4 linked regions of the Drosophila melanogaster genome follow. The protein of the gene in region 3 interacts with the protein of the main gene of each other region in a pairwise test. Each region holds a gene or a part of one and is shown on either strand. Other genes may lie near its edges. The genes, in order: Vm26Ab, CG33109, Mat1 and Liprin-gamma.

What was found.
Region 1: the proteins of Mat1 (region 3) and Vm26Ab interact in a two-hybrid assay, tested with the Drosophila melanogaster proteins (one large-scale study listed by BioGRID).
Region 2: the proteins of Mat1 (region 3) and CG33109 interact in a two-hybrid assay, tested with the Drosophila melanogaster proteins (one large-scale study listed by BioGRID).
Region 4: the proteins of Mat1 (region 3) and Liprin-gamma interact in a two-hybrid assay, tested with the Drosophila melanogaster proteins (one large-scale study listed by BioGRID).

The regions. Positions count from the first base shown.
Region 1 is NT_033779.5:5,952,799-5,960,042, forward strand, and holds Vm26Ab (vitelline membrane 26Ab), read left to right. Parts: upstream 1-4,205; 5' UTR 4,206-4,267; coding exon 4,268-4,774; 3' UTR 4,775-4,841; downstream 4,842-7,244. Other genes in the region: CG9044 (uncharacterized protein), read left to right, coding at 191-259, 618-1,679, 1,737-2,203; CG13999 (uncharacterized protein), read right to left, coding at 2,816-2,925, 2,983-3,236, 3,294-3,427; CG13998 (uncharacterized protein), read right to left, coding at 3,714-4,007; Vm26Ac (vitelline membrane 26Aac), read right to left, coding at 5,248-5,793; Vm26Aa (vitelline membrane 26Aa), read right to left, coding at 7,036-7,244. UniProt on the Drosophila melanogaster protein: Major early eggshell protein secreted by follicle cells into the perivitelline space and incorporated into the vitelline membrane. Involved in vitelline membrane biogenesis; forms a cross-linked network with other vitelline membrane components.
Region 2 is NT_033777.3:14,218,032-14,225,569, forward strand, and holds CG33109 (uncharacterized protein), read right to left. Parts: upstream 3,554-7,538; 5' UTR 3,549-3,553; coding exon 2,658-3,548; 3' UTR 2,529-2,657; downstream 1-2,528. Other genes in the region: CG31326 (uncharacterized protein), read right to left, coding at 292-709, 772-1,540, 1,598-1,763, 1,954-2,163; Sp212 (Serine-peptidase 212), read right to left, coding at 4,097-4,502, 4,721-5,501, 5,612-5,777, 5,851-6,048; CG9631 (uncharacterized protein), read right to left, coding at 7,150-7,538.
Region 3 is NT_033778.4:10,735,636-10,743,125, forward strand, and holds Mat1 (menage a trois 1), read right to left. Parts: upstream 4,195-7,490; 5' UTR 4,086-4,194; coding exon 3,123-4,085; 3' UTR 2,982-3,122; downstream 1-2,981. Other genes in the region: CG7220 (uncharacterized protein), read left to right, coding at 289-420, 1,022-1,113, 1,258-1,360, 1,425-1,656, 1,722-1,735; CG33144 (uncharacterized protein), read right to left, coding at 5,294-5,551, 5,609-5,812, 5,946-6,214, 6,276-6,438.
Region 4 is NT_033778.4:22,349,598-22,358,712, forward strand, and holds the start of Liprin-gamma (Liprin-gamma), read right to left. Parts: upstream 5,112-9,115; 5' UTR 4,791-5,111; intron 1-4,790.

The sequences.
Region 1 (7,244 bases), on a different chromosome or scaffold from region 3:
TTGGATATATTTACTGTACATTAATTTAATTTTTATTTCTTTTTATTTTATTTGCATGCGAACACAAATCGAAAATGGCAAAACCAATCTAACTTTTGTATATTTACATTGTTCTTTTGGACTTTTTCTCTCACCCAACTACCGACAACAATAACATTGTTGTGATGTAAAAACTTAATTAATACTTTAGTGGCCAACTGCAGGCTAACAACTGCAAAAATCACACCCAAGCTTAGGAGTTTGACGCAAGCCACCAAAAGTTAATATGCCAATTTGTATACTTTTTATTTCACTTAACAATTTGCGTTTCGCTTTTGTTCCATAATGTGAAGCAGCATTTGGACGTGAAGCAAAGATAAGCTAACCTACTAATAGTTCTTGGACGACGACGTCGTTTACAAGTCTTATAAAATTTTATTGCACGTCTTGAGCCTTGGTACCCAAAATTATGTATTATCTGAAACAAAATTTAGCTGTTTATAAGACCTGTAGATACCGACAAATATATCAAAATTTAAGCAATAGCTAAAGCTTTATTAATCTTAGAGAGCAATGCTGCTTCCATTAATAAACAATTAAGTTAATTAGAGCACCAGACTAATATTTCAACATTATAGGTTCCGCCAATTCGCTAAATGGAAGCAGCTCTTGCTCAAAAATTACCAACTCACAGAGCTCTTTCGACTCCAATCAATCCGTAGTGGGCAGCTCGAACACGGATCGGGATATGGAGTTTCGAGCCAACGAAAGTGATGTGGACATCATCTCCAATCCGAGCCAGTCCAGCATAGAGGTACTAGATCCGAACTACGTGCAGAGCGCCAGTCGCAAGACCTCAGAAGAGCGCCGCATATCCCAGCTACCTCATCTGGAGACGATACACGATGAAGTAGCGAAATCGAAGAGCTTCATCGAACGCGAGTTTGGTCAGCTTCTGGCGGAGCAGGCTCAGCCTACGACACCTTCGACTGCAGCTCCCTTGGCTCCTGCAAAATCGGCTGTCCCATCCCATGTACCGCTGACAGAGAGCAGCTCGTCGGGATCCGTAACGGACAGCATATGTACTACCTACGAGCAGCAGGCCACTGATGCGCCACAAAATCTACAAAATTCCCTGCTCACCGAGTCGTCAAACAGCCAAGTTAGTGGTTCGGATGCGGAATCTAATAGCCGTTTGAAAAGCGCCGAGGATGCCAGCCTGCTGCCTTTCGCATCTGTATTTCAATCAACCAATCTGCTCATGTCCAGCTCAAAGAAGTTGATCGAGTCGGAGGCAACTGTTTTTGGTACCCAGCCGTACAAGTTTAACTACAGCGACTTTAATGATATCGATCACCGTCTGAAGCTCTACTTCTACCAACGAAAGTTCAAAGAGGATGGCGAGCATTTCAAGTGGTTGGCCAAAGGTCGCATCTACAATGAGCAGACCCAATCCTTGGGAGAAGGGCTTGTGGTAATGTCCAACTGCAAGTGCTATCTAATGGAGGCCTTTGCAGAACCCCATGACGATGTGGCCAAATGGCTGAGGCAGGTCGTCAGCGTGGCAGTCAATCGTTTGGTGGCCATTGATCTGTTGCCCTGGAAACTTGGCTTGTCCTTCACCTTAAAGGATTGGGGAGGATTTGTCCTGCTGTTGCATGACATGCTGAGGACGGAAAGTTTACTGAATTATTTACAACGTGAGTTAACTTTTTGCATGTTGCTTTTTTCCTAATACTTATTATATTTTTTAACAGAAATTCCTCTGCCTGAGCAGTGCAAGCTGAATCATCAACCATCTGTCACACTCAGCCATCAGTGGGAAACTATTGCGTCCGAACCAGTCAAGATGTGCTCCCTGATTCCCAGCTGCCAATGGATCTGTGACCAGGAGAAGAGCTCCTTTGAACCCTCCCTGCTCCTAATCACGGAGACACATTTGTACATCTCAGGAAATGGCAAATTCTCGTGGCTGTCAGATAAAGTTCAGGAAAAGCCCATTCAACCAGAACTTAGCCTTAATCAACCACTGAGCAATTTGGTCGACGTGGAGCGCATTACAGACCAAAAGTATGCGATCAACTTTATTGATGAGACGCAAAACAGGTGCGAGATATGGAAGTTGCAGTTCGAAACGCATGCCAATGCCGCATGTTGCCTGAATGTCATCGGAAAGGGATGGGAGCAGCTATTTGGAGTGCCATTCAGTCTCTCTGGAACGTGAGGAGCGAATTACACTAGAAAATTGAATATAGCCTGTACCAATTATTGTGCAAAGTTTAAAATTGTTGATCTTAATTGACTATGTTATTTAATGTCAGATTAGTTTTATTAACTTAGGCTAGAGCTTTCAATCAATAAGAAATGGTGCTGTACCACGATTTAAATGTAAATATTTATAAATATAGAGGTTATTATTTTTTGAAGTCCTTGCAATATATTCATATATTACAGAATTAAATCGTCTAAATTGTTTTATTTGTTGTTAGATGAATTATAGTTGGTATCAGTAAGTTGATATTACATATTTGCTTCTATTTACACATGAATAATATTATTGGAAACAAAAGAACTACAATATTGTCAAGGAATTTTGTTTGCTAATTAAATAATATTCACACGTGAGTTATAAATGTTATATGCATTTAAACTCGGTCGGATTTATTTTCGACTTATCTGTTAGTGCTATCTACTTGATAATTTCGGCATAGAGGTTTTTCATTTCTGTTTTAAATCGGATGTCTTTATAAACTATTATCTATTTCTATTAATTATCTATATACAGTACACTTCTTATGCTGACTCACTCATCGAAGAGTCCACTTAACCAGGTGTCTTACTTATCGCCCAGCTGATCTGCGATCCAGTCAAGATGCTCCTCCTTGAAGCGAGGATCTGCCATGGTCAGAGCCGTCGACTTGGAGCTGTAGTAATAGAAAACCGACACTGCGGGAAAGAGGAAGATATTAGGATAAGTGTGGAATGAATATTTCCGGAACTCACTGATGCGCTGTGCCACTGATAGGGCAATCAGACCCAGTGGCCAATGATGACCGTCCTCTTCTGGCGGCTGACGGTATTGGTAGATGATCCAAAAGTGCTGGGAGGCGGACAGAAGGAAGTAGATGGTAATGCTGGCCATGAAGAGCTTGCAATTCCGCAGGATTATGTGCGAGGCGCCGACCTGGTACACACACGTCGAGTGCAGGGCGAGGGTGAACAGCAGGTACTCCGCGATAATCAGGGCATCCTGAGTGCTGTGGTAACGTGCTGTGTTCAGAAAGGATATCTTCTCCATTCCCTAAGATACTCACACAAAGAGAATTATGGCTGTCTGCAATCGGTTTCTGGCCAGCGAAGGACCAAAGGCGTTGCAAAAGAGGTCCACTCCCAAAAGGGCGAACTGGAACAGGAGCACCCAGGAGTAGCGTCGCAGTGTTAGCTTCATGGCGGTGTCCAAATGTCAAGCGCTTGTTTTCGGTCAATTTGTTGCGTGCTGACTGTGCGGGGGTTTGTTGTGTCCTTCGTCCTGGTGACGTCAAAGCTACCACTGCGGTCATGCGCTGTGGATTTGTACTATCCCCTTATCGATAGACAGATTTCCATGGAGAACTGGTGAAACTTTGAAAACGTGTGGAAGGCATTGGCGGGAACAGAAATGGGTACGTATTTTTAAAGACCAGGTTACAAATTGGAGTCAGAAAACTATATATTATTCTGGGTTGCTTTTATTATCAGACATATCGAGCATATTCAAAAGGGTACTGCTGCCGTTTTCCCGATCGGAAGGTGTCCATTCTGCCAGCCTGTCGCCGGAATCTCCTGTAGTACTGCTGGTTCATCTCGGAGTAGAAGTTTGTGGGCAGTAGGTGAGACCAACTGTGGTCGCCTTCACCATTGTGGCGGTCCAGAAACTGGAACATCGATGCGGAAGTGACTTCGGCAGCCCCTGTGCGCCAGAATGGCCAGGTTGGATTTAAGGTCACCAGAGCCAAGACCAGAAACCAGAACGTCATCGTCTTAGCCATTTGTGAAGAGAGCTGTTTGGCCAAAACCCGGCACCCAATACCCTCCTCCAAAGTCGACTGCCGGTTGCAGGTGGTCAGCAGATTTCGAGCCGGGGTGCTTCCATTTGCATTTTTTTCGGAACGCTGTCGTTCTACTCCGTCAGTGCGATCAGCGTTTTCCGAGTGGGCTATAAAGTGGATTGGCTGGGAGGCTACAATCAACAGTCAGCCTTCGTTCGTCACTTCAGCAGCAAGTAGAGACAGCTCAAGAACCATCCGCAATGGCATTCAACTTTGGTCACCTCCTCATCGCCGGCCTCGTGGCCTTGTCCGCCGTGTCCTCGGAGACCATCCAGCTGCAGCCCACTCAGGGCATCCTCATCCCCGCCCCGCTGGCCGAGAACATCCGTGTGTCGCGTGCCGCCTACGGAGGATACGGCGCTGCCCCAGCCGCCCCATCGTACTCCGCCCCAGCCGCTCCCGCTGCCCAGGCCTACTCTGCTCCCGCTGCCCCAGCCTACTCCGCACCCGCTGCTCCCGCCTACTCCGCACCCGCTGCTCCTGCCTACTCTGCTCCCGCTGCCCCAGCTTACTCTGCCCCAGCCGCACCAGCTTACTCCGCACCCGCCTCCATTCCGTCGCCGCCGTGCCCCAAGAACTACCTGTTCAGCTGCCAGCCCTCCCTGCAGCCCGTGCCCTGCTCCGCCCCAGCTCAGTCCTACGGATCCGCCGGTGCCTACTCCCAGTACGTGCCCCAGTACGCCGTGCCCTTCGTCCGCGAACTTTAAGGATCGAAACGAATCTGACTTGACATCTGAACCTAAGAATAAAGTAATGCTTTCATAAAAAACATTTAAGATATTTTATTGAAGGGGTATCAAGGGTTTTATTGCTTTTCTACAAGCTATTAAAAAAGTTTCAGCTCTCTGAAATAAATATAATTATTACCGATATGATGCAACAAATTTAAGGTTTTGTGTTTTACTAGTACACCTTTTTTTAAAAAGAACAAATTCGTATATGCAAAACGAGTAATGGGCTGTAAGCAATTTTGAAATTCTAGAACACTTTAGATATATCTTGTTATTTATCGTCTTAGCAATGATTAAAGCGGCACAAAAAGTTGCTCCCAATTTTGGTCTAAAACTAATCCTGTTTATATATTTAATAGTGCCAAACAGAAGTCTTAAATAAATAATAAATATTAAAAAGATTAAAATATTGTTTAAAATTTTCACTTTATTAAAAATCAGCTAGTTCATCAATATGAGCTGTACCCACATGGAACCGGCTTGATAACCGCTTCGCAGGAGAACACATAGTTCTTTGGGCAAGCTGGAGAAGGAACTTCACTGAGTGTGGTTTGTTGTTGGTATGTTCCCTGAACCGGTACCTGGGCCTCATCCTGGTCGTAGCTGCGAGCGAAGCCAAATTTGCCACGTCCAAAACCAGGACCTCCGAAGCCGGGACCTCCGAAACCGGGACCTCCAAAGCCGGGACGTCCAAAGCCAGGGCCTCCGAAGCCCGGACCTCCGAAGCCAGGACCTCCAAAACCAGGTCCTCCAAAACCAGGTCCACCAAACCCGGGACCACCAAAGTTGTTCTCCACGATTACCTCCTGTACGATTTGCTGTTGCCTCCTCCTACGGTTCAGATACGCATCCGAGGGCTCGACAGCTGATGATCTCGATGGCAGGCTCCTTAAGCACCCTGTACTTCCTCCACAGGTCGAGGCTTCCAAACCAGCCTGCTGACCCAGAGAACTCGCTCCGGCCAAAAGGGCAAAGAATCCGAGATACTTCCACATGCTGACTTGATATGGTGGCGTTGCAAGCTGAGAAAGCCGAGATGCGGCGTTGTTCAAGTGGCTTTTATAACCTCATGCCACCAGAAGTGCACAACGAAGCGGAAACGGAGATGGCCAAGGTAACACCCAACAAGTGGGTCACTTGGTCGCACATTCCAGAGGGCGAGTGGGATCAGAATTGGGGCGAAGTTGGAAGTTCGAGAAAATGGGCCATTGGCTAGAAGGGGTTAATCCGCTGGGAGGGCCCAAGTCACTACTTGGCTGGGCTCGGAAACCCTACGAGCACCTGAAACCCGAAGGTCAGCACATTGTAGCCACTGCTGCTTTCCGGCTTGTAGGCTGACCGACCAGTCAAGCGATTGATGATGGGATCCGATATCGCATTACCCAATCGCTTGCACTTTTCACTTTTCAATTTTCCGCTTTGTCGCTGATTCGGATGTGTCGCAAGCATTTCTTCTAGCTAAAATATACATTTATGTACAATTTAATAACTATTTTGTTTGGTACCAGCATTTCCTGCAGTTCAGTGACCCACAACGAGCTGCTTGGCACAAAGGTTAAAAACTGAAAGTTTGCTTAGTTACAATCACCTGTATCTGGCGGATGTAGATTTAATCGGATTGGGAAAAGCTGGAGGCAGTAGCCGAAACTACATTTCCTTTTTCAGGAATTTAATAGCTAACGATTTTAAAATGGTTTTATGGTGGTTATAAAATGGTTATAAAATAAATTATTTTAGTACAAGTTATATAAGTTAACTTGGAGAATAAAAACATTGGGTTTACTTCAATGATAAACGTTGATTAGGTTACTAAAATAAATTTTGTCGTCAATTATCTAGTAAGATGATAAAAAGACAGTGCAGCAAATATACTTAAATGCTTCATTTTGGGAATGTTTAAAGAAAATGTTATACTTGGGACTTTTAATATATATAAAGTTATATCAGAATATATATCTTTTATCAAACAACAGCCTGGTAGAATAATAATATGATTTTGTTATTACCAACATTATCTTGGAATGATAATCTAGGCTTGGTCTTCTTCTATTGGTTGCTAGAAACTACAATAGTTATACCCTTAGTAAGAACAATTCATGATTTAGCTTTTTTTTAGTGATTTAATTGCAGTACATATTTTTGGGTATATTTTTTGTCAAATCCATCAAAGCTTATGTTTCTCGGCAGTCGGTTCGTGGTCCTTGGGCGATGATCGCAGTCGCAGTCGGAGCAGGTGCTTAGTACTGGTAGCCATAGGTCTGGGGCACGTAGGCGCTGTACAGCTGCTGCTGGTGCTGGGGCACGCCGTAGTTGGGGGCGACGTAGGTGGCCACCGGGGAGGAGTAGGCGCCGGCGGATCCGTAGCTGGGAGCTGGAGCGCTGCATGGCACGGGGGCAAGGTTGGGCTGGCAGCTGAACAGGTAGTTCTTGGGGCAGGGAGGAGCTG
Region 2 (7,538 bases), on a different chromosome or scaffold from region 3:
TTGACTCAGAATTATTTTTTGGGGCTTAAGAGCATGAATTGGGATTTTATAAACCAAAATAACCAAAATAAATGTTCATGGAAACAAAAGATCCAAAAAAGTTTGCAGTGTATTCAAGATGCGCCGTTTTGCTTTATTATTTCAATGATTAATGGATCCACTTAGAATTACCCATAACGCAATAGTAGGCAGTAATACATGGATCTTCCGATTACGTGATTTTACATTCATCAATGGGAATCTCTTCAAGAAGGGGGCATGCTTTTCATGTTCGCAATCTTCATTTTGTGTTCAATTCCACATTTTTTGGCGAACCCATTCAATGTGCTTGGCCACATCAGTGAATACGGATGGCTTGGATAGCTCACAGGTGTTTTCCTTTTCGTTGATCACACCTCCGGAGATCACTCCCCGCAGCACCCAAACGTCCTGTTCCCGCAGCATCAATGGTCCACCACCATCGCTGGCACAAGGACCCGCTCCCGTTTTCTTGGCACACAGGGAGCTCGGCTGGACCAGAACATGTGGCAGCTCCAGGGCGCAGTTCGCTTCGCTGACTATATTAAGGTCAGTAACCTTGGATACTTCAGTGTTGCCGGTGCCGGTCTCATCAGGTCCCCAGCCGGCAACATAGCTCTTGAGCCCCTGGGGCAAATCCATGCGGTTGCTGGTGCTCCAAAGGCAAATAGGTACTATGTAGTCCGTGTACCTTATTATAGTATAAGCAGTAGTTTTTTATATTTAATATATTTATATAATTTATAGACTCACCTCACAGGTTCGTCCAATCGGACCAGCGCCAAATCGGCCTCCGTAAACTGTTTGAATTGGAAGTTTTCGTGGATAATCAGCTGGGATACGCCGCGAAATTCTCCATCGGAGTGAATGGCCAAAGTATTTCGACCCAAGGAGACGGCCAGCCGAGAGGCGGGCAAATCCCTTCCAGGAGCACGAAAACAGTGGGCGGCCGATAGTACCGTGGATGTGGAGATGAGGGTTCCTCCACAGATGAAAGCGGGTCCGTTGCTCTCCCGTCGTTCGAAAATAGCAACCAACCATGGGAGCTGGCCTCGCTGAAGACTTTTCCCTTGGAAGATCAATGGAGTGGTACTAGCTCTCTCCCGACCGCAGGGAATACCATTGGATGAAGGGTTCTGCTGGGGAACAAGATCTACAGGGCTTCTCACCGCCTGCTGAGGAGCATTAGATCGACTAGGATTTGGTGTCGGTCGTTGTGGGACGGGACTTGGTATCTCCGGCTGAGAGGTAATACCTCTATTCGGATTTGCCTGCTGAGGGGCGGTACCCCATCCGGGATTTTGGAAGGCTGGCAGTGACTCATTACTCCTTCCAAACAACTCTCCGCTATCCTCTAGTCTGGGTTGACTGGGTCTGGTTTCCCTGTAGTCTATCTGTGGACTTTCATCTTGCCAAGCGGGTCGAGGTCTGGTTGGCACAGGTTGGGGATTAACGCCGAAAACCGATATGTAGGAGGGCGTCCAAGTGATTCGCAGCGTAATGCCGGTTCTTGGCTTAGGATCTAGAAATTATACGTCCATAAATTGCATTTAAAATATATTGAACTATAAAAACTTACATACACCGCCACTACAAAGTTGTACGCCATTCAATTGCATGCTAGTGATCTTGGGCGGTATTGTTGGAATAGGAAAATCCACACGGTATCTAATCGGCAAGCCCTGACGCAGATTTTCCTGGGTCACTTCATCATCATCCACCAGAGAGATACTGCCCACATAGTCCTTAAAAAAAGAAATATCAAAAATTAATTGATTAATAATTCTATCATTCTATTGTGCTTGTTTATATATTTTTGCAATGTCAATTTTCATTGCCGCATGGGAAATTGCACAACCGCAAAGTAAGCAAAGTGATAACAGAAGCGACTTATTATGAGTTCAGAATTTCCAAGTTAATAATGCTGAATCTTACTTCGAAATCGTGATATCCCTGCTGGGAGAATTGAAGGATGAGTGTCTGGTTATTGGCCTCCGGATGACGAACTTCCACCAAACCGATGTACTGCCCCTGGTAGCCCTGGTATTGAAATCGCCCAGAGCAGCCATTCCGGGGCAACTGGCCAAGAACCAAGTTAATCAGAGAAGCCAGAAGGAGAACGGTCACCAGCTGATGCGGACTCATTGCAACTACGTATGAGCTGAGCTTTTCCAGTCTATTTTATAGAGATTTTAATTACTCGCATTAAAACTCAAAAGACTCACTCAATGAGCACTGATTGATACCCGATCTAAGTCTCTCAATAGTCAGTGGCTCTCCCCACTTTGTGGGTATTTAAGTATTCAGTTTTTGGAGCTAAATTCTCGAGCGTAAATTGCACTTCCACATGCTAAGCTCCATTAAGCCAAAAAATGCATTAATATTACTTACCTTTTCTTAAAATAACTTTATTAACAGCACAAAGACAATGAATGAACATTTTCTCACAGTAGGTATTTAAAAGATTTAATTTTTGATTTTCTGCTCCTTTATCATAAAACATATTTAATGGATCTCATATTTATTTATTTGTTTCTATAATAATTGGTGCGAAAGGTTCCTAATTATGTGCTGTCTCTGCTATATGTTCGCCAGTGATTATTGAAATAATATCTGATTTTAAATGTATAGATCCCGACTTATTTGGTAAATGTTTCACTCTCAAGATAATCCTCGATTATATCATCTAGCTGTCTTTCTACCTCGACCCGCTCCTCAGTGTATTCCTTAACAGTTTTATCCACACACTGATTACTTTGCCGTTGAATGTCCTCCAACTGGTTGCCCTTAGTCCGCAGATTCAGCAAATTCTGTGGAGCATTCTGGATGCCATCGATAGCTCTTCTGACGTTCCGCCGGCACTTTTTTGGCTTAACGCTGGAACAGCCTTCAGTGACATCGATCAAGTGCTCCGTTGGATTTTGCAGGCCATTTAGGGAACTTTCCAAGTCCAAGTTAAACCGAATCTGATTCCAGATAAACAGACCAACACAACTACGCAATCGAAGGCCGTAACGACTGTTGAAGTTTTCAGTGATGGAAACAGCCTCCGCGGTTCTAAGACCTTTAGTCGACTCCTGAACTTTCGACACCTTTGCGGCAGCCCAGAACTTCCATTCCTCCTGGACATTAAGTTTCGAGACAAGTTGCTCCTCCTCTGCCTTGATGTTCGTTAGGAATTTTAGCAATGGAGATATGCTCAAACCTAGACCAGTTAGAGCTTGCAGAGATTCCTGCAGGCCTTGTCTCCTTTTCTTTTTCCGAGTATTGGGCAAATCGGATAATAATTTTGCCACATAATTGTCAAGAAGATTCCTCAATTGCGTTATCGTTCCTTCGTTCTTGTTTTGCAGGTCGTTAGTTGGACTTAGAACCGAAATACCTTTTTCGTTTAGCCTTTCTGGATCATTGGGCAGAGCTCCACCATCTCCAAATTTATTCCAGATATCAAAAGCAGTTTCTATTGCCAGAACGCTGTCATTCCAGGCAAACTGGACCACCAGGAGGATTAGAAAGCCGCTGCACTTCATCTTTATACCAGGCCTCTAAGAGTCTATATATCGTACTGCAGGCCTTTTATAGCCAATTACATTGGGTACTTAAATGTGCAGCACGCTTCCCAAACATTTGCTCAGCCGATGCCAATCATTTAGCAGTCAATACGTGGGCATATATGTTTACTTTTATGTCATACATGCAATACACATGGCCATTAATTTGTAAGATATTAGCTAAAGAAAGTTAGCGAAAAAGTCAGTTGTGTCTTTTAGCCAGAACAATCAATCGGTTCTACCAATAAAAAAAAAAAGTGGCCGCTGCTAAATCCTAAAATAGATGAACTATTAATGAAGTACATCTCAACAATTAAAGTTATTTTTTTACAAACATTTTATTGTCAGCACGTAGCAACCTATCTGTACTTTTTTTTGCCTTTCAATCATCCATCATTGCCAATAAAATAAGTGAAAGATGGGAGGCGCAAACTCGTTTTGCCGAAAATCACCAGACAGTGAAACATCTAAATATCTTTTGGCATTAAAGTTTTTAATTTGATTGTCCACAAAGCAAATCCGGATGCTCAGCGAATGTTTTCGCTTATCCAGTTGATGTGCTTGGAAAGATCGCAGTACAGTACATACTGATTAAGCTGGCAGGTGCCGGCAGGTCCGCGTTCCCCTGCAGACACAATACCCCGGAGCAGCCATCGATCGCCCTGCTTGACCATCAGTCCACCGCCGGAATCCCCGACACAGGGTCCAGATCCATCGCGATTTCCCGCGCACAGACTTCGCTCCGTCACCATGGTGCCCCTCCAGGTGCTGGCGCAGACCGTCGGACTGGCAATCTCCGCCTCCACCACGCGTGGATACTGGGTCCTGGAGCTGTCCTCATCTCTCCCCCAACCCGCTATAAAGCCAGTGGTGGACACCGTTCTGCTTGCCTCCACCGTCCACATGCAAATGGGTGCAATAATGTCGTTAAACCTGAAAGAAAACATGATAGTCCTTAAAATATGAACTTTATAAGAGAGATTTTTTCGCATGTTATGAGTATTAAATTATCACCTTCTGTGAGAAGCACATATTGTGATAGAGTAAATATAATATTTGAACGGGAATGCCCATCGTAAAATGATTTATAATATACCTTTTGTATCTCTTGAGTGAAAAATTAAATTACTAATAATTATTTAAATACTCACGTCACTGGCCGTTCAATGGTGATCAAAGCGATATCGGCATCCGAATACGACCGGGTATTGTAATCCGGATGCCAAAGCAATCGCATTACATTGCGCATCTCGGCCCCATCCTCTCCGTAGTCATCCAGATCATAGCGCCCGAGTCCGACGACCACGCGGTCCTCCGTCATCCGATGCACACAGTGGGCGGCACTAATTACAATGCTGGACGAGATCAGGGATCCTCTGCACTTAAAGGCCAGAGCTCGAACCTCCTTGTGATAGACGGCCGATAGCCAGGGGTACTGTCCTCGAGGGAATTCGTTTCCACGCACAATAAACGGAGTTGTGCTGCCCTCTCGACCGCAAACTACTGATGATATTTGGGATCGCGGATCAAAGCGTTGAGGTGGTGGAGTAGCTGGCGGAACGGTTACAACTGCTGGTGGAGTTGGAAGTGGTGGTGGTGGTGGTGGTGCTGGTGCTGGGCTGCTCGTAATAGTTGGTACAGGTGGCGCAAAAGTGATTGGAACACTGGGTACTGGTTGATTCCAGAAAATCTCAGTTGGAGTGGGTGCTGGAGTTACCACTGCTGGGCTTCTGTTGGACACAGTCGTCCAGGGCTGTGTAAAACCACGCCAGATATCATTGCCACGGGATGAGGTAGGATAGAATACTGTCTGCACATTCACATCTAAGCCATCTCTGGTGAAGGGATTGAATACGGAGGAAGGGAACGAAGCCAGCGAACCACTGATGTCGAGCTCATAGAAGCGATTAAAGAAGCTATTGGGCGGTCTGTCTGGAACAGGGCTCAAAAGAATTCATCAAGAAATATGCACATTAACATTGAGGGACTTCAGAATTCTATAAGACAATACCTATTCCTAGAACCTAACACAAGCTACTCACATTCGCTGGCCGAGCACAAGATCTGTTCGTTGTAGGAGAGACGCGTTAGTTTGGGCAATCCGTTGCTTGAATTTGGTCTGACGGCTATTCGAAATTTGGCCGATCCTGTAAGCTGTCGTACCGCATTTTCATCCGGATACGGGATCAGGGAACCCACGGCGGAGGCCTACGAAGTGCGAGGGAACAAAGTGGTCAGATGGGTTGTCAAACCAGCGCGATGATTGCTGGCCAGCTCATACATCTTGTTCACCCCGTTGCGAGAAACGTATATCTATGCGATTCCGACCCCGCATCAAGCTGGGCAGCGTAATCTCGCCCTGCACACCCTGGAAGGCATCGTTGACATAGCGGAAGTAGTCCGGACACGAGTTCTCCGGAACAAGCTGGGCCCCGGCCAAGGCGATTAGCGACACAATTACGATCAATTCCAGACCCATACCTTTCCGGAATCTTGGATTAGAAAAAGAAGCTCTCGGTTCCGCACGCGACAACCTACGGTGGGCAAATAAGACTGATTGCCGAGCATCGGGTATTGCTTACACATCTCGACGAGTTGTTGAGTCACTGAGTATCGGTGTTGAGCAAAACTGGAAATTCCGCATCGTGCTGAGCCAATAAGGCGCAGCTTCCATCAAAACATTTAAGAATTAATCTGCCGACTCTTTGATACTTTGCTCTCAACTAAATCATAGTTTTACTTCGGCTAAAGTAACCAGTATAGTATAATCTGGTAGATTAAGTTAAGTAAATCTTTTTTTGGTTTTCTTGCTTACCTTTCTTTATTAGCCCCTACAAGCAATTGTCTATAATATTGCTTAAAATCGTTGTTTTTAAGTGGATATACCCTTGGTACCTCGTAATCAAATGTCTAGAAGCCATCTGCCTTCTGTGTTTTGAGCGAAAATCCCCTCTCTAGTAATCTTTGACTAATTCGTATAAACAAAACAAGAGCTTCAATACAAAGAGTTTACAAATTATCATCAATTTAATTTTAAGCTTATGATCATAGATCGAATTACTATTCTCAACATGGATGGGCTAACACTGATCGAATGTGTTAATTGATAAGGTGCTAATACGACTAAAGAAATTAAAAATTACATTTATCTTTACTGATAAGCTAGTGAGTCAAAACCCTGCTGTTGCTCACAACTGATTTTCTTGCTCTTGAGTCAAAAGTATTATTAACAAGAGATCTGACATACAGCCTTATTTGTTTATAGTTCTTATTATTATTACTCTCTGATGAGCTCTCACTTGTTTAAATCGAATTCCAAAAGCACTAATAATCTATTCCTCTCTTTAGAAAATTTGTAATCAATGATTGCAAACATCTGCACTTTAAGTCATAGGCTTAAAGCAAGGGTTTTATTTTAGCGCAAAGTATACACTTAATAGATTGTTGGCACCAATGCATGCTTGGGAAATCCACCGACTAGGAAAAGGTAATCTATTATACGACTTAAAGATTTATTGAGAATTTTGTACATAAATTTCCGTGTTTTCCTGTATTGTCACATTATAATTATTTCAGCGCCTCACATGACCATATTTTGACGTACCCAGTCAATGTGCCGTGCAACATCGCAATAGATAACATACTTGCTAAGGTCGCAAATCTCTCCGTGGCGAGGCGATAAAGAGACCACACCACGAACGTACCATCGATTGTTACGCAGGACGATCAGAGCAGATCCCGAGTCTCCGAAGCAGGGACCATGTGATTCTGAATTGCCGGCACAGACGGTCCGCCGCGTGATGAAGTCCTCCGCCCGCTTCATCTCCTTGAGACACTGATCCCGGGGCACCAATCGAACACTCACTGTCTTGGGAAACCGCGTCTTCTGGGCACTCCTGTCGTAGCCCCAACCGGCTACTGCTCCAGTATCGCCCTCATTCGGTGGCAATCCCATATTGGAGCCCCAAA
Region 3 (7,490 bases):
CCTGCAGTCTCTCCCACAATTTTCTGGGCGCTTTCCTGCAGTCGTCCCACGAACGTTGCCGCAATTGGTCTACACGAATCGGTTCGCTAATAAAATGACTGCCATGCCCCACGCCCACTCTCGCCTCCTAGGAAAAACGCTGGCATATTGAACTGTGCGACTAACTAACTTAAATACTTAAAAGCAAGCCCAGCAAGCCGAGAGCAATCTGCCTAAAAGTGACAAGTTATAGGTGACACAACAAAAGCTAAAATTTGTGAGAAACTGTGTGAAAACTAGAACTACAAAATGATGAAGCTGTTTAAAAAACCCAAAGACAAAATACCCAAATCGGAGATTTTAACCGAGCCCAAGGAGCCCAAAACACCGCCGGTCTCCAAGTGCGGAAAACCTTTGCAGTTGGACAACTCGCGATGGGAGGCAAGTATATTCGAGATATTAAACCTGAACTTTGGCCAGATATCGCGTTCGAACAACTGGTCGTTAATATACATATAGTGTTCCATTGCATCATGAGTATGTAGTATTTTGAGTTTCAAGAAATCTGCGTGAATCTTCTGTTGATTCTCTTCAAGGCTGTACCAAGATTTGTTTTTATTATTCTTGGCATTGCCAAATCCAAACCTTATCGATCAAACCCATTTATCCGCAGCTCATTTGTGGGGGCAGCGGTGCGATACTTGTTTATGGTACAGAAAACGGGCCTGCAAGTGCCAATCACTCGATAAGAAGGGGGATCCGAAAGACGGAAAAACAATCGTCGGTTCTATAAATTTCAGTGACATTTGTTTTTATCTTATCGAGCATTTCGTTTATTTATACGCGCGTAGGCATATAGCGTATATTGGCGTTTGTAAGCCAAAGGAGAAATGGCGCACCGATAAGGCGAGCGGAAAAAATAAGTCTTGAGAACTCTTAAGTAGAATGTCCCAGCTGTAGGTGTGTTTCGCGATAAGATATACGGCGAACTGTCCGAGTCATTAACTAATATAAGTCTTAAATTTTATTTTCTGCCCCACAGCGCCGCCTACACAAAGAGCTGATGTCCCTGATCAAGGAGCCGCCACCAGGCGTAACCATCGACACCGAGAGCGTACAACAAAATTTATCCGAGTAAGTATGGACTTCGAGGCGGAGTAGGCCAAGTTCAGCGACAACTGAAACTGGTTTAAATCAATTCGCAATTCAGCAATTCGCACTGAAAACAAAGCCCGCAGTTGTTGGAAGCTGACACTAATATCGCTGTTTTGTTTACAGATGGAAAATAAACATTAAAGGTTTCGAGGGCACACTTTACGAGGGCGAGGACTTCCAGCTACTTTTCAAATTCAACAATAAATATCCGTTCGATTCGCCAGAGGTAATAATTCAGTTGAACAAAGCGAAGCTGTATGGAATCTTAACCATGTTCTCTTAATTTCCAGGTGACCTTCATCGGCACCAATATACCGGTGCATCCGCATGTCTACAGCAACGGACACATCTGCCTATCCATTCTGACCGAGGACTGGTCCCCGGCGCTGTCCGTGCAGTCCGTGTGCCTTAGCATAGCCTCCATGTTGAGTAGTTGTCGCGAAAAGAAGCGTCCGCCGGACAACACGATATACGTAAAAACCTGTAATAAGAATCCTAAAAAGACTAAATGGTGGTACCACGGTACGTATGCGTGATTTTCCAACTAAAGCCCACTGACTCTAAACTTGACTAATTGTTTATTTCAGATGATTCTGTTTAGTTAAAATTGCCATTTACTAATACTGCCTGCTATTGTTTGCTTTGCGCATCCAACCAAAAAAAAAAAAAAAAAAAAAAACACCATTAGCAATACAGAAGTAGAACACGGCGAGATGCCCCCAGAAATCCAAGAAATGTGGGACGGCGGTCAAGCACTGCTCGTGAGTGGAGCATACTAAAACCCAAGTGCACTCGGATGCGAACGTAATGTGCAACAAAGTAAATGAAGTTAGCGAGAAACTTATGGGTAGTGTTTGGCAAACAATCGTGGCGCATGCAAACAATTCTAATTGTAGCTATGTGTAATCAACAAAAGGCGTGTGCGAAAAACTATTATTAAATGTTAACATTTTAATTAGATTGTTAAGACCAAATTTATGTCTAAATTAAATGTTATCCTACCATTTAACCACTAAGCGTATGCAAACCACTTGAACGTTTGATAGTTCTGGCACCTCGCGCCAGTTGCTGCTTCCACATTCCACATGCATCGTTCGCGGCATTTTCTGCCCGAGTAGCGTGACCCAGCACACACACACATCGCCTCCATCCCAGCTTATATTAATTTTGTGTATTTTATCATCATAGATGAGAAGCAAAACTCATGCGATCATAGTTAAGATTATGACATTTTAAATGTATTAGCAGCCATATCCCCGATCGCTCTCATTGTCACCAGTCCTGCACTCTGTAATCTACCCACATTGCCCATGCATAGGTCGTTAAGTTAACCAGTTCATGTACTTGGCTAGGATAGTCCATCTGTGGCCAAAAATCTCGCAAGTGGCCCGATCGCAGAACACATTTACCTCTAACTGTGCAAGTAGATCTTAGGATGTGACGAGCTACTCGTCCGACTATCACACGATTTAACTATAATCCGTATAATGTATAAAGAGCAAGTTAAATCCAATGTATGTTTATCCAGCATATGTCTATAAATGCCTATAAATATTTACTGTTAAAAGTATTTAAAATAAAAAGAAGTCTGTAGTCGAACGAACCAACTGTTTTTCTGTTTGGCTCATTTTGATCTCTTGTATTTGTATTTAGAATACAAATTCAGGAAACTTTCTTATTTGAATAATTATCAAAATGAATAAGCTAAGTTTCTTTGCAAATGAAAGTTATTCTAATATAGACATGTTATTTTTTTTACTTCTTGTTTAAGGATTAATTTTCCTGCGCATCTATTGACCTACTATGTAGCCAACAACAATATATTTTTGAATAAATAATATCTATAACGTAGGATATAGCATTTATTTATTTAACATATATTAAGTTACGAGTTAACTGAATGGATTCGTATAGGACACATTTGTTCAACAAAATTAAGCGTTCAGTGCTCTGGTTGTGCGACCATTAAAGGATATTTTTTTAGAGAGCTAGGTGCCAGATACCACACCCGTTGTAGCCGTATAGTAGAGTCCCTGCAGCGCCTCCTGAAGCGCCCGTTCACAAGCCAGAGCGGATGTGAATCCGCCGGCGTTCTCCTGCGGTGTTTCAGCTCGTATGTGGGCAATATAGCCCCTGGACACGATCTCATTTGTGGGCGGCATGGCAGGTCCCTCACTGAAAGGAACAAGTGGCTCGTATACGAAAAGTGGACCCTCCTCCGATTTGGGAACGGGCAGCAGACTGGGATCAGCTGTCTGTCCGAACTTTATGCCCGTAGAGAACTCGTTGGCGGGCTTCGGCGGTGGAAGCTGTTTCTCCTCCTCGCGCTGCTTTTCCGCTTTTTCGGCGAACTCGGTGACAATTTGGGCGGCATCCTTGCCGCTGTACATCAGCTCCTCGATCAGCGCCTGCTTGTCGCGGGCCTTCTTCTTCTTGTGCTCGTTCTCCAGTTCCTCCAGCTCCTTCCTACGCGCCTCCTCCTGAACTTTCTCCAGCTCCAGCATCTCCTCCAACGCGTACTCATCGCGTCCCACGCGGGTTTTATTCCGCTGAATGACCTCACGGTTATCACGCTTGTAGGCCTCAATACGCTTGTTTGTCTCGATGATGTCGATGTTGTTGCACAGATTGTACACAATGTCCTCGATCTCCTCCAGATAGTCATTGTACTCCGCCAGGGAGGCAAAGTCCTCCTCACGTTTATTGTAGTCGCGCAGAATTCGCCTACGAATATCCACCTCCTTCTCCACCATTGGGTCCTCAAAAAGCTGCACGCGGAAGTTGTTGCGCCGCAATGGGACCATGCACTCTGGACAGGCGCCGGATCCTTTGAGGAACAGCAAGTCCACGCAAGATTCGCATAATGTGTGTCCGCAAACGTTGACCATCAGCTTGAGCGATGGATTCCGGTATTTGGTGGTCTTGCACCGCGGGCACGCCTGGTCGTCCATCGCGTAGCCGGTTTACCTGTCCTCCTCTCTGCTGCTTAAATCCGTAAATAAAAACTCTTTGCCGGCCAATGTTTTCGATAAATTATTATTTGATGCATTCCCTAATGTGACCATGGTTGGCCCGTAATGTCATGTTTGTGATTTCGCTTAGTAACTTTAGTTCACATCTAGCACATACACGAACCACAAACATAGCGTTGCCATACTATATGCATGTTTTACAATAGCCGTTACAAGCTTGAAAATTTAAAGCTTGAAATGAAGCCCATGAATATGAAATGAGAATTTTAAGCTATTAAATAACCCAGTACTTTAATAAAAGCCAATTCCATAGTTTTCTTTTAACATTTTTATTTCAAACAGCATACGCGGTAGTTGTTCACATTAAGAGTAAAGTTTAAATATGTTTTCTTTAAAGATACACGCACTTTTATGTCATACGTATTTTGATATATGTGTTCTGAGTGTATATGCATTAAATAATTCAATAATTTACATTAACCAAATCATCCCCAGCTAGGTGCACCTGCCAGCTTTTAGGCAAGCGACCCGAGAGCAGCGATTTGATATACATTTGTTTTAGCTGCGTAGTAAAATTTACAATTAAATACATTCAATAAACAGTAGTAGTGACATCATATACACCTCCTTTATATGCAGTATATATATTTTTTTGCGTAGATAAAAGCATTGCCAAGCAGTTGATCAAAGTGACCCATCAATTTTGGGTGTTAGTTGCATGCGTAATACTTGAGAGAAGGATTGAGTGGGTGAGTCGGGCGATTTTGTTTGGGTGGGTGCGTTATAAAAGCACTGTTGCAATACGAGGCGTACTCCTAATATATTTAGACTAACTTATGCGCTAGGAAGAGAACCTACTCGATTTATACAGATTGATTTAGTCGAATATATATTCAAAGGTGTGGTTAGGGGGAGGAAAGAATATATGTAGAGACAGAACCTAAAAAGAATCGAAGGCGTCTTGTCTTTGTATAGGTTCTCAACAAATTTGTCGATTCAATTAGAAATCGAATCACTGTAAATATCACAATTTAGTTAACACATATACAATTATAATTGTAATAACTAAAATAAATGTACGTAAGCTGTCGTCATTAACAATAGAAACTACCAGTAATTACAGCAGCTGCATTTACAGGCTGCAGCCTATGTCGCGTATGGATGGGGATGCGTGGAGATCCAGCCACCTAGCCCTGCAGCGCAGTGACCTCCTCCTCCAGTTCGGCGTCCACCTCGTCGATCTTGGACCCGGTGCACCCTCTGCACTTGCAGCAGATGATGCAGGGAGCAGCCAAGAGCAGCAGCGGCGAGGCCACCAGCAGCAGAATGCCAAAGCCGGCGAAGATCCCAATCACTTGGGCACGATGCCAGACCACCGAGGCCCGCGAGTGCCCCAGCTTGTTCTTGCACGGTCCCTTGTCGTAGTGGCGCAGCAGGAAGTCATCCTGCAGGAATACAAATTAGATGAAATATCCTAGACTTGCCAGATTCTAGGAACTTACATCCAAACTGGCCAGGCAGTACCAGCAGAAGACGTGCTTGCAGCGCTTGCACATCATCTGGGCGCAGCCCTCGTCCTTTTCGATGGGCACCGCGCACATGGGGCAGCACTTGATCAGTTCGTTGTCGAACGGTATGCCAATGTCGTCCTGGCCATCGGCAATTAGGCGTCTTCCAAACTCGTCGCAGCTTATGTTCGGATGGTACTGCAAAAAGGATAGAAATCATTATAAACTAGAAACCATTAAAAATGTGATAAAATTGCGCAAAACTAAAAACCTTTTATAGAATTTTAATTTATGTTTATGACAGGAAACAACAACAATGTCACACACTTACCGCCTTTTTGCAGAGGCCGCAGAATTCGTCCTTGCAAGAGGGACAGTGAACAGACACCGAGAGAACGGGAGCTCCGTTTCCGGCCGCGGCACCTGTGCTTCCGTTTCCGGCCACCTCCTGCTGTGGACTGTAGCTCTGCGAGGTCGACGGCGACTCGTCCATTTGGCAAATGACGCTGGACTGGCCAGGCTGTGCTGCTGCACCCACCGTGCAGATGGTCTCGCAGCCAGCCCGTGGACACCAGGTGCGCGTCTTGTCCAATTCGATTTCTAAATGAAAGTGTAACATTACTAAGAGGTCTCTTAGGCAATCTCTTAGGCAAGGACTTACCTCGATTTAGGCGATATCTATGATGCTTCTTTAGCAGATTCGTTGTAGTTAGGTTCGCTATCTCGGGCAGGGAAATGGCACCCTGGGCCGGGCACGTGGCGTCCGGACAGGAGATCTCGTAAGCGCCCTCGGAAATCTCGAACTCAACGTAGGCACGCATGCACTGCAAGTAAATAGAAGCAGGCGATGAATTAGCTAAACAATTTGCACGTCTTAAGCGTAATCGCACCTAAGTCGGGAAAATATATCTTGATATACATATATGTGAGAGTTGTAGCTCACTCCCTCACTTTTTGCCAAGGGAAAAGTTTGTCAGGGCATTTAGCAAGTTTGGCTGGCATAGTTTCGGCCAGGAAAACCGCATGGCCCACCACAAGGCTGCGGTTGTCGGAATTATTTCATTTTCACTCGCACACAAAAGTTGCCGCCTGTGCGGAAGCTTTTATAAATAAAGATTTAAAAGTTTTCCCTTCCGCCATGGCACATTAAAGTAATGGAATTGCAAACGGAACCAAAGGAAATACTCAAATGCTTCGACACCAACCATATTTTCCCTTTTCGGCCCCGCCAGCAGCAAATGAAAGCCGGGCAAAAACGCTTTTTGGAGAAAAGTTTCCGAGTCGGTAGCACAAAAAAGTGTCTCCTGCGGCCAACTCTCCTCCTTTTGGCCAACTTTCTGTTTAGCCGTAAATAATTAAAAGTGAATTTCTCCTTTCTCTGGACAGCTCTGCCTGGAATTTGGGCTACTGGCAACTTTCTGTTTGCTAACTGCAATAATGAAACTAGATATTCCGCTCAAATGAAAGTTTTCATTAAAGCAACTGCATAAAGCACTTTGCGAAATTTGTGTGCACATAAGCGAATTGGAAATTATTGCATTTCTAAGGGGTTGAGCCACACAATTTGGATGTTTAACTTTCGGAATTTGGTTATGGAATGTAAATAGAAGTTATTTATTGACGTATTTTTCATTTGCAGTTCATTTGCGAAGTTTAAAAAGAAAATAAATAAGGAACTTTCTAATTTTAGTAAAAGCTATTCCTTCTTAAACGTTTGCAGTGCAGTTTTTCAAAGTGCACACCCAGCTTCTCTTAATCCCAGTGTTGAAGGCTTCACCTGGTCATCAGTCAGTCGGGCCACAGCAGCCACAGCCTCCGGATTTGCGATGCGCGGTAAAGGGAACTGGCTACTGGGTGCTGGGTGCTGGGAACTGGA
Region 4 (9,115 bases), about 12 Mb from region 3:
CCAACTTATTTGATTTGTGGCCTGCCGGTGACGCTCCTTATGCAGTTGCCTTCGCATTCAATTAAGCTCTTGGGCTGTGTGTTTTGGGGGCAGGCAATTGCCCTGAGAAGCATGCTTCATAAATTGGTTTTTATTGGGGTCCCATGTGTGTTTTTTTTTTTTTTTTTTTTACGATTACGATGATGTTTTTATTATTTGATCAACGCACTGTTACCCATGCGGCAACTTAATTTGATCTGCTTAAATTATTTTATTTTACAATGTGTCTTGGTTACTTAAGACTAACAGATTTTTAATCCTAAAAATGATAGGGAGAATTATAATAGTTGATATAACATAGTAATTATTATTTATTTGATTATTCTAATGAATTTTAAAACTAAGACTTTCTAGGTCAAAACCAGGTTAGGGAGGTCATGAGGGTGGTGTCGCTTGAGTCTTCTTTTGACTCTAGTCCGAGGGTCAGCATTGTCCACAGCTGCAGTTCCTAGCTTCCTTGCTAGGCTGTTGGGGTGTACATTAAGCCTTTCCATATATTTTTGGGCGATGTTCTGGAGCTTGTCTCCTAATTTGGGCACCTTGAGGTCGCGTTCGATGTCTCTTGTTCTCATATACCAAGGAGCCCCCGAAATTCTTCTTAAGGTCTTCGCCTGTAAGATCCGGATCTTATTAAGGTGACTCTTCGCAGCAATGCCGTATACCTGCAGGCCGTAGAACAGGCAGGGGGCCAATATGGACTTGTAAATATTGACCTTGCAGCCAAGCGACAGTTTGTTGCGTGGTGCAATGAGCCAAGACATCCGAGCAACCTTGGTCCTGAACGCTTGCTGAATATTTGTGATGTGCCTGCTGAAGGTGAGCTTCCTATCGAGGGTAATACCAAGGTATTTATAAGCCTGATGGTGTCTGATCAGTCTCCCATTCAGACTGACACCCGGACAGCTACCTGTTCGGTTGGCGAACGTCACATTGGCACACTTCTCAGCGTTGATGCGCACATTCCAGTTCTCAGCCCATTGCTGGAATGCATCCAGGTATTCCTGTAGACCAGAAGTGGCAGCCAGGATACTTTTACTTTTCGTGAGCACAGCAGTATCGTCAGCGTAGGTGGCTATGAGCACATCTTCTTCGTCTACCTCTGTGACTGGTGTGTGAGTAGGCATGTCCGAAGCAAAAACTGAGTATAGGGTTGGGCCAAGAACGCTTCCTTGAGGAACTCCAGCTGCAATTGGCTTGATTGATGATTTGTACCCATCAACAGAGACGTGGAATGTGCGTTCTTCCAGGAAACTTTTAACAACCAAATATAGCTGCGGCGGGAACAGCCTCTTCGCTTTGTACAGGAGCCCAGGGTGCCAGACTCTGTCAAATGCCTGTTGAATATCAAGAAAGGCACCTACTGCATACTCCTTGTTTTCCATAGCTTCCAGAGCAAAGTTCACTACTCTATGTAGTTGCTCAGGAGTACCGTGCTGCAACCGGAAGCCAAACTGAAATTTGGGAATCGCTTTGGTAACATCCTTGCATGTGAGCAGCCTGTTTAGGATCAGCCTCTCCATAATTTTACCCAGAGATGGGAGTAAGCTGATGGGCCTGTACGAGTCAACGTCTGTCGGTGTTTTTCCAGTCTTATGGATCATAATTATGCTCGCCGATTTCCAAGCTTTCGGAAAGTAGCCAACATCAAGAACGCTGTTGAATATTAAGACAAGGAACTGCAATGCTTGATCTGGGAGAAGTCTAATGGTTCTATTATCAAGAAGATCTTCTCCAGGAGCTTTCTTAAGTGGCAGCTTGGCTATTAAATTCTTCACTTCTTCCAGTGTGACAGCACTCGGAGGCAGGCTCATTTGAAAGGGCGATTCCAAGTATCCATGTGTGTGCGTCTGTGGCTTTCGTTCTTAAAATGGGAGGTAAAATATTTGAAATTTATTGCCGTTGCCTTTGATTCAATGCACACATTTATTAATTTATCATTCCATGAGCCGGAGCTCAGGCTCTAAATAAATCAAAGGCTTGAGATGGAAAAGATTTAAATGAATTGGCCGAACAAATGGCCAATAAGTTTTGGCATATCGATTGAATGTCGGCCTACAGAATGCATGCAAATTAATGCAGTATTTTGTGCTGAGCAAAACCATTCGAACCGACTTGATTGCACAAACCACAGACCAACGAGCACACCCCAAAGTGCCATAATGTCAATGCCCGCCCTAGGGCGCCACAACTCGGTGACAATTGACATTGGCAGTGACAGTGACTGTGACAGTGGCGAACGGAGAAATTCAATGAAAATTAATAAGTTGAATTAACAGATTCACGCCGCGAGCAGCCATCGAAATCCAATCCGCCGCACACGCCAAGTGGGAATTTAATGGCTCAGTGCCCTCAATGCCAAATGAGTGAGTGACTGGTCATCCTGTCCGTCCTGACATCCATCATTAAGGTCCTGCCCATCTCAACTCGACTCGCTGAGCTGGCTCAGCTGGCTGAGCCTGGATGCCGTCTGCTAGCCAGCATTCAATTCGATTACCTGCAAGCGAACACTTTATTTCCGAAAGGCTAACTTCATTGACCGTACATATCCTGCTGTGTGACTCATAACATGATGACTAAACCCAGCCATTCACTTGAGGGGAATGTCAGAGAGCGAAATTGCATTGACCTCCTTTAAAAACCCTTCAAACGCAATTTTAGTTGAATTAAAAATGAACGTATAAAGTTACTTAAATAGGTGTCTAAACGTATGCAGTTTAAATAGAATGCTGAGTATTTCCATTCACATATTTGTGAACTTTCGACTCGAAAGTTAGAATTTTTTCCAATATTTTTCCCTTTTCGGGCTAGAAAGTTTTCACTGCGCTGACCGTTTTACACTTGCTTTTAGCCCTAATTTCCTGTATGACTCGATGGTTTCGCCCCCCTTTCTCAGCCAGAAAACTTCAATGGAGCGAGAATGGAATGTGTGGGAGCTGCACAAATTACAATTTGAGCCAGGGCTCCTTCTCGGGGAGAAGGGGAGCCACATAAACCAATCTCCGCCCCTGTTCTTTGCCAAGCGATTTCGCTGCAATCTACATCGCCAGTAGAATGCTGCTCCTCCTTCGGCCGCAAAACTGACAGCAATCAGCTTTGCTGTGGATAAAGTTTTATGCCGAGAAACTCATTTAGTTTGCAATTAATTAGTGGCAGCCGGCAGAGCAGAGTTGAATTTGTGTTTTTAATTTGACTAAATAGATGCACCACTACCGAACGTTGGAGAGCTTGCACAACACGGCGAATGGTGGTGGGGCGTGGTGAGTGGGGCGTGCAGGATGGGGGCGTGACGAAGTAGCATAGTTCTGACTGAGTTTTTCGCTAGGCGTGAAATGTAAATGCTTGACCCAATTGGCAGGGGGCGTCTAAAGGGAAACACAACGAAAAACAACCAACCGCCGACAACAAAATCATTTAAAATGTTTTCCAACCGGGGAAACGGCGAGCGCTAAAACTTTTTCTACGGCGCTTTTGGCGAAGACAACTTGAACACAATTTGATAACCTACATTTGGGGGTCTTGGTAACATTAAAAATTTACACATGACGGCGTGGCCGGGGCGTTGGGGGTTTTGGCCTTACTCGCAGTGCAAAAGTGGAACGGAGTGTTTTCTCAGCGTCCTTGAGCTCTTGTTTTTTATTTGGTATTAAGAGCATGTCAAGTGAGTCTGGCGAACACAGAGGCTGAGGCAGCATGGCTAAGTGAGTTTTCGTTGTTGCTCCTTGTCACAGGAAACGGATGTGTGTGTGTGTGTGTGTGTGTGTGTGCGTGGTTTGGCTTGAAGCGAGAGGGGAAATTGTGGCGGGGGAGGGGGCTGGAGTAGACCGTCCCCGGAGGTGGGTAGCAAAAGTCTTTAAGTCTTTCGGCTTAATAGCTTTCAGTTTGCGACTTTCCTGGTCACAGCCCGACCCGATTCTGGTTGCTTACCCCTTCTATTGTCCCAAATCCCCATCATCATTTCAACCCCCTTCCTGGGTGCCGTGAGTTATTGTCGTGCGATTTATTACGCGACGCACTGTTGGTAGCCTTTGCTGCCTTCGGAGGGGGCCCACATGGCGTATGCGTAACGTATGGTCGTGGTAAAAACTCACGTAATATGCAACATTTACCGCCCGCGGTTCTCCGCCGGTTCCTTTTGATTTATTCAGCCAGGTGGCATACTTTTGACCCATATGGCTTTGATTTCTTGAAAAACTCAAAACCACCAAACATACCACTACCAAGTTAAAGTTATTACTAAAAGTGCAGTCACAGCTCCTTTGATATATGTCAGAAGTAAGCCTATTTCGTTTACGAAATGGTTTCTGCATTTTCTCTCTGTGCAGGTAAATATGATTTTCGTGTCTGGCAGCAATTACTGATGTTGTCATTAGTAAGAACACCACTCGGAAATTAATAAAGATTTGCACAGGCGCAAATCGGTTTAAAAATGCGTGCAAACACTTTGATTATTCATTCACAAAACCCAAGCGGCCCGAAATTCCCAAATGAGATAGTGCGTAATTCGCGACTGACACAGATTTTTCCCTATTTGGCTGTTCGCTGGTTTTCCTTTATATTTGCGCACAGAAACAACAACAAACAGAGTGACACACAAGTTCCAAAAAATTTCCCTACTCCACGCACACTCGCACAAATATTGACCGAATTTTACTGGCGGTGGTTTTTCCCCCCCAAAAATTCGATTGTTCTCCGCAGTGTTTTTCTTGTTTTCGGCGATGCTGTGTCTGTCTGTTTGTTTTCGAAAAATTTACCTCGGATTCTGACTGAAAAAACAAGAAGGCCACATACCACGTGGCCAACAGTTGAAGTCAATGTTGGTTCTTTTATTTTCGTTTTTTTTTTATTTGGTTTTTCTGGCTTTCTAATTTGTTAGACACGCTTTGGTTGAAAGTTTTTTCGGCTATGCTCTTGTTGATTTTGATTGAAACACACACGCACACCAGCACACACTCTCCGCGAAGAGAGCAGGACAGAAAGAGAGAACGAGAGCGAGACCGAAGGATATGTGGGGAATAATTCAATTCTGGCGCTTGGAACGTCTCACTGGGCGAATCACTCGAATGGCACTGAGCTCGAGTCCTTGGCATTTGGCCCGAGTGCCGTTTTGGCGGCGTCCATGTGACGTCACGAAAGCTTAGGCACAGCGAGATGGGAAAAAGGATACAAGAGCGCCCATGCGCATTGGCGAAAGCTCGCAATCGCTGGAGAAATAGCCACCAGGGATCTCTCGAAAACCCGACCTAGCCTTGCCTTGGACAAGTGTTTGTTTACGTTTTCCATCCGAACGTCCCGCAAGAATCCTTTCGAATCCTTGTTGCTCCTCCGCTCCCAAAAACGAAGGTCAAGCTCTGGCTCTGAATCGCAACGACACCACCTCCGTTTTCAATTAATCAGCAATATAAATTGTACTTTGTTTGGACGCCACAATACATTTTCCCCGCAATTTAACTTGGACGAAACAATTTACAGACTGTGTGGTTGGGCCACACAGCCCGATTTTACTCTAATGAAATATCTCAAGACCAAAAATGTCAGTGGTTGCAACTGTTTGCGACAGGCGGGGAGTTACTATTTCAAAATATGAAAAGCCTCAAAACAATAAATGAGGATGAAGTGGGTAAATGTGGGGATGTTGCGCACTTTGAGGTTGCCAACGACAACTGCAGTCTGCATGCTTTCCTACTAATTGTAAAACAATCTGACTGTACACTATCATTTGCGGCAAAAATTGACAAAGGAATCGAAAGTATGTGAGTATTGCACTCAAAGCTGAACATGTATAATATGATCCCGACAGCAAATGCTCAAATTATTGTGAAAAGATTTAATGAACACGTGCAAAATATTTCAGCCAAAGAAATCGCATCGCCTCATCTATGAAAATTGATATTATTGTTCTCTCAATGTGATTGTAACGAAAATGGCATTTTCATTTAAAGTCTAAATGGTTTAATTGAGTTTGAAAGGGCTTAACAATTCTGACAGCTGTGATAAAAGTGGCTTTCTGATTCAGCTTTGCAGTTACATTTAACTGGAAACATTGATTCATAACTGAGTTTCATATTAAAGTGTTATTTTTTTGCCTCTTCTGCAATCCTTTCAATTACTACCTTTCGATTGGCTTGATAAACAAACCTATTTTCCCGCATCGCAACTATGCAATTCAAAGCGGAATCGATTGCCATATCAACGCGTAAGGGTGGAGTAATCCGAATGAGAGCCATTGCAGTGCATTATCCTGAGCTCACAGGACTTGAACCGGATAAATCCCTTTACCGCTCCGTGCCAGAGAGTGTAGTGTCATTCATAAGCACAAGTGGCAGACGTGACTAGCCGCAGCCACGTAGAGGGCTTTGCACCTGACTGAATCGGTCCGATATATCCTATATACATCCTCCTGCCATACCCCTCCCACCCTTCGAACCCTTCGCATCCGCAAACTCATGGACACGGCCACTGTTTGTCTTTATTTTGACTGACAATCATTGTGGTTGCCATCTGTCTGCCTGCGGAAATGTGAAGTGCAGCCATGAGATAACCGCCATCATCTGATGCTAATAAAATGTTATCAAATGAATGTCAAGCGGCTGCTGAGCCCATCCTGCTGCCTTTTTTGTGGCTCTCCTGGCAGACGCCGCCATCGGTGCCAGGATATGTGTATCTGATATCCCGAACAATGGCGGCAGAACAAACGCACACACGGAGGCGCATCGATTACGGTGCTAGTTCATTCAACTCGGCTCCTCCATCGGAAAAGGCCTAGGATATATGGCAAAACTCCGACTCCCTCGACAAAGTCAAGACAGAAGACTTCCCGCCGAGAAGAGGCGGCGGGAGCAGCACTATCTGCCACAGGTGACGCGTGAAAAATTCCACAAGCCATGGAAGCCGAAGGAAACGTCTCTGCCATGCAATTCTTCCCTTTTGTCGTAACTCAACTGCCATTGACAGCCAAGTGTCCCACTGACAGTCGCCGCCCCCAGCAACCCTCCATTTACCCGCTTTTCCATTTCCCCTTGCCCACTTTTCCAACCTGCCGCCTGCAGAGCTGCGGAAAATCAACTACGACGACCTCAACCTTAAGAATTGAGCCAGATGCAGTGAGAGAAGAATCTAAGATTGCATTAGGAGCAACTAAATTTCTACTGGCATCGTTATAATATGATATCAAGATCTAAGCGTGGGGGCTTTCAACATATCATAGCAAATTCCAGACATTTTGAATGCATCTACATGTTGGTGTAAAGATAATGTTCCATACTACAGGACACCCTTACTTTTTTGAGGTGTATTACAAGTCCCGGCCAGCGTTTTGTCAAGCCAACCAATTGTGGGGACGGCATAGCCATTGTCACTGCCTGACATCCACTCCATCCCCACCTAAAAGGGGGGAGGACATGAGACGGGAGTGCTGCGAAAGAAATGGAGTTGCGGTGCCGCGTAGAATGGGGATGTTTATCAATGCCTTGCGCTTATCGCCGACAGCCGCCGCAGTCAGACAAGTGGAAAACTATACACGCCCAGAAAGCAGGAAAAAAATGGGAGTAGAAAATACATAAAACAGCCGGATGCGTTGGCTTGACAACTTATTTCAACATCTTGTTGTAACTGTTCGTTGTGCGCTTCCTATTTTCATTTATCGCAATAAACTTTTCCGCAGATGGCACTGCAAAAAGTTAGCAGATGGAAAGTGGAGAAGTGGAGGCAGTGGGCTGCTGTGGGTGGGAGTCGTCGCCAAAGTTTTCCCAATACTTTTTGAAGCCTTTGTTGCTGCACGGCCATTGTGTGTGCATATGAGCAAATATCTCATTGCAAAATATTTGCGTGTACTTCTTATACAATTCTTGTTATTGAATTCGATCAGAGTTCAAGGATGGCCAGATGCGAATATGCCAAATTGAAAATGCATTGAATTTTAAGCCGATTGGGGTCCAAAGAAACCACTCAACCTAAATCAGCTTACAGATGCATTGATTACCTCAATTAAGATTCCAGCCCTGGCTGGACAGTAATGAATCGAATTAGTATGTAAATGTCCAGAGATAGAGAGTGGATGGTCAGGGCAGCAATTTCGCAATTTCGCTAGGATTGTGCTTTACACTATTTCCTTCTTTTATACCCGTTACTCGTTGAGTACAAGGGTATGATCGATTTGTTGAAAAGCATGACATAGCAAAAATCTGACTATTAAAACCAATTTAATGGAAATGATAAGGCATTTCATTTCTTCTTTTTTATCTTTATCCTCTCCATCTGATTAACGGGTATCCAATAGTCGCGACACTCGACCATAGCGCTCTATCTCTGCTCTCTCTCTCTCTCCGTTTCCGGATGTTGCTAAACGGTTTATCGCACTTGCCACTGCAATCGGATGAGAAGGAGTCTGGAGCGGAAACGGCGATATATTATTAATGTCTATTATAAGGCAGGCGAAGCCAATGCGGCGTATGCGCATTTTTTATATTTTTATTTCGTTTTATTCCTTCGTTTTTATTACGGTCCTGCCCCAAGGCAACGACACATTTCTGCCAAATGTTTCTCCATTTATCCTTTTGGCCCTCCCATCACGATTCCCTTTCCCCTATTTTGGCCCCCGCTTTTTGGGGCTTCCCCATGTTGTCCGGGTTTTATGGCAAGTTGCGAGTGCCGCGTCCTCAGCATCGCTTAATAAGTTTTTATTGCCCCAACTCATGCCAAGTGGGTGGCAGACGGACGTGTTCCAGCGGCGGTCGACCAGATAATCAGCGCCAGTTTCAATTTCAATTTCAGATGGCCACCTGGCCACGCCCACCAATTAACGCTGGCGAATTTGCCAAATACTCAAAGGACCCTCGGGTTTTGGTTCACATTGTCCTCGAATTGCGTGCAGCAGTTGCATGAAATTGCTTCCCGGTAAATCGCTTTCTGTATGCATTAATATAATTTGACATGGTACTTAAAATTCCTTACAATCTGAAATTTGACACATGCTCGTAGAGAAATGGTATAAGAGTTCTTTAATAAAATATGATCTTGAGTTAAAAGCCCAGATGCTTTCTGTAACATCATCATTTGATTATTGCATTGATGATTATTT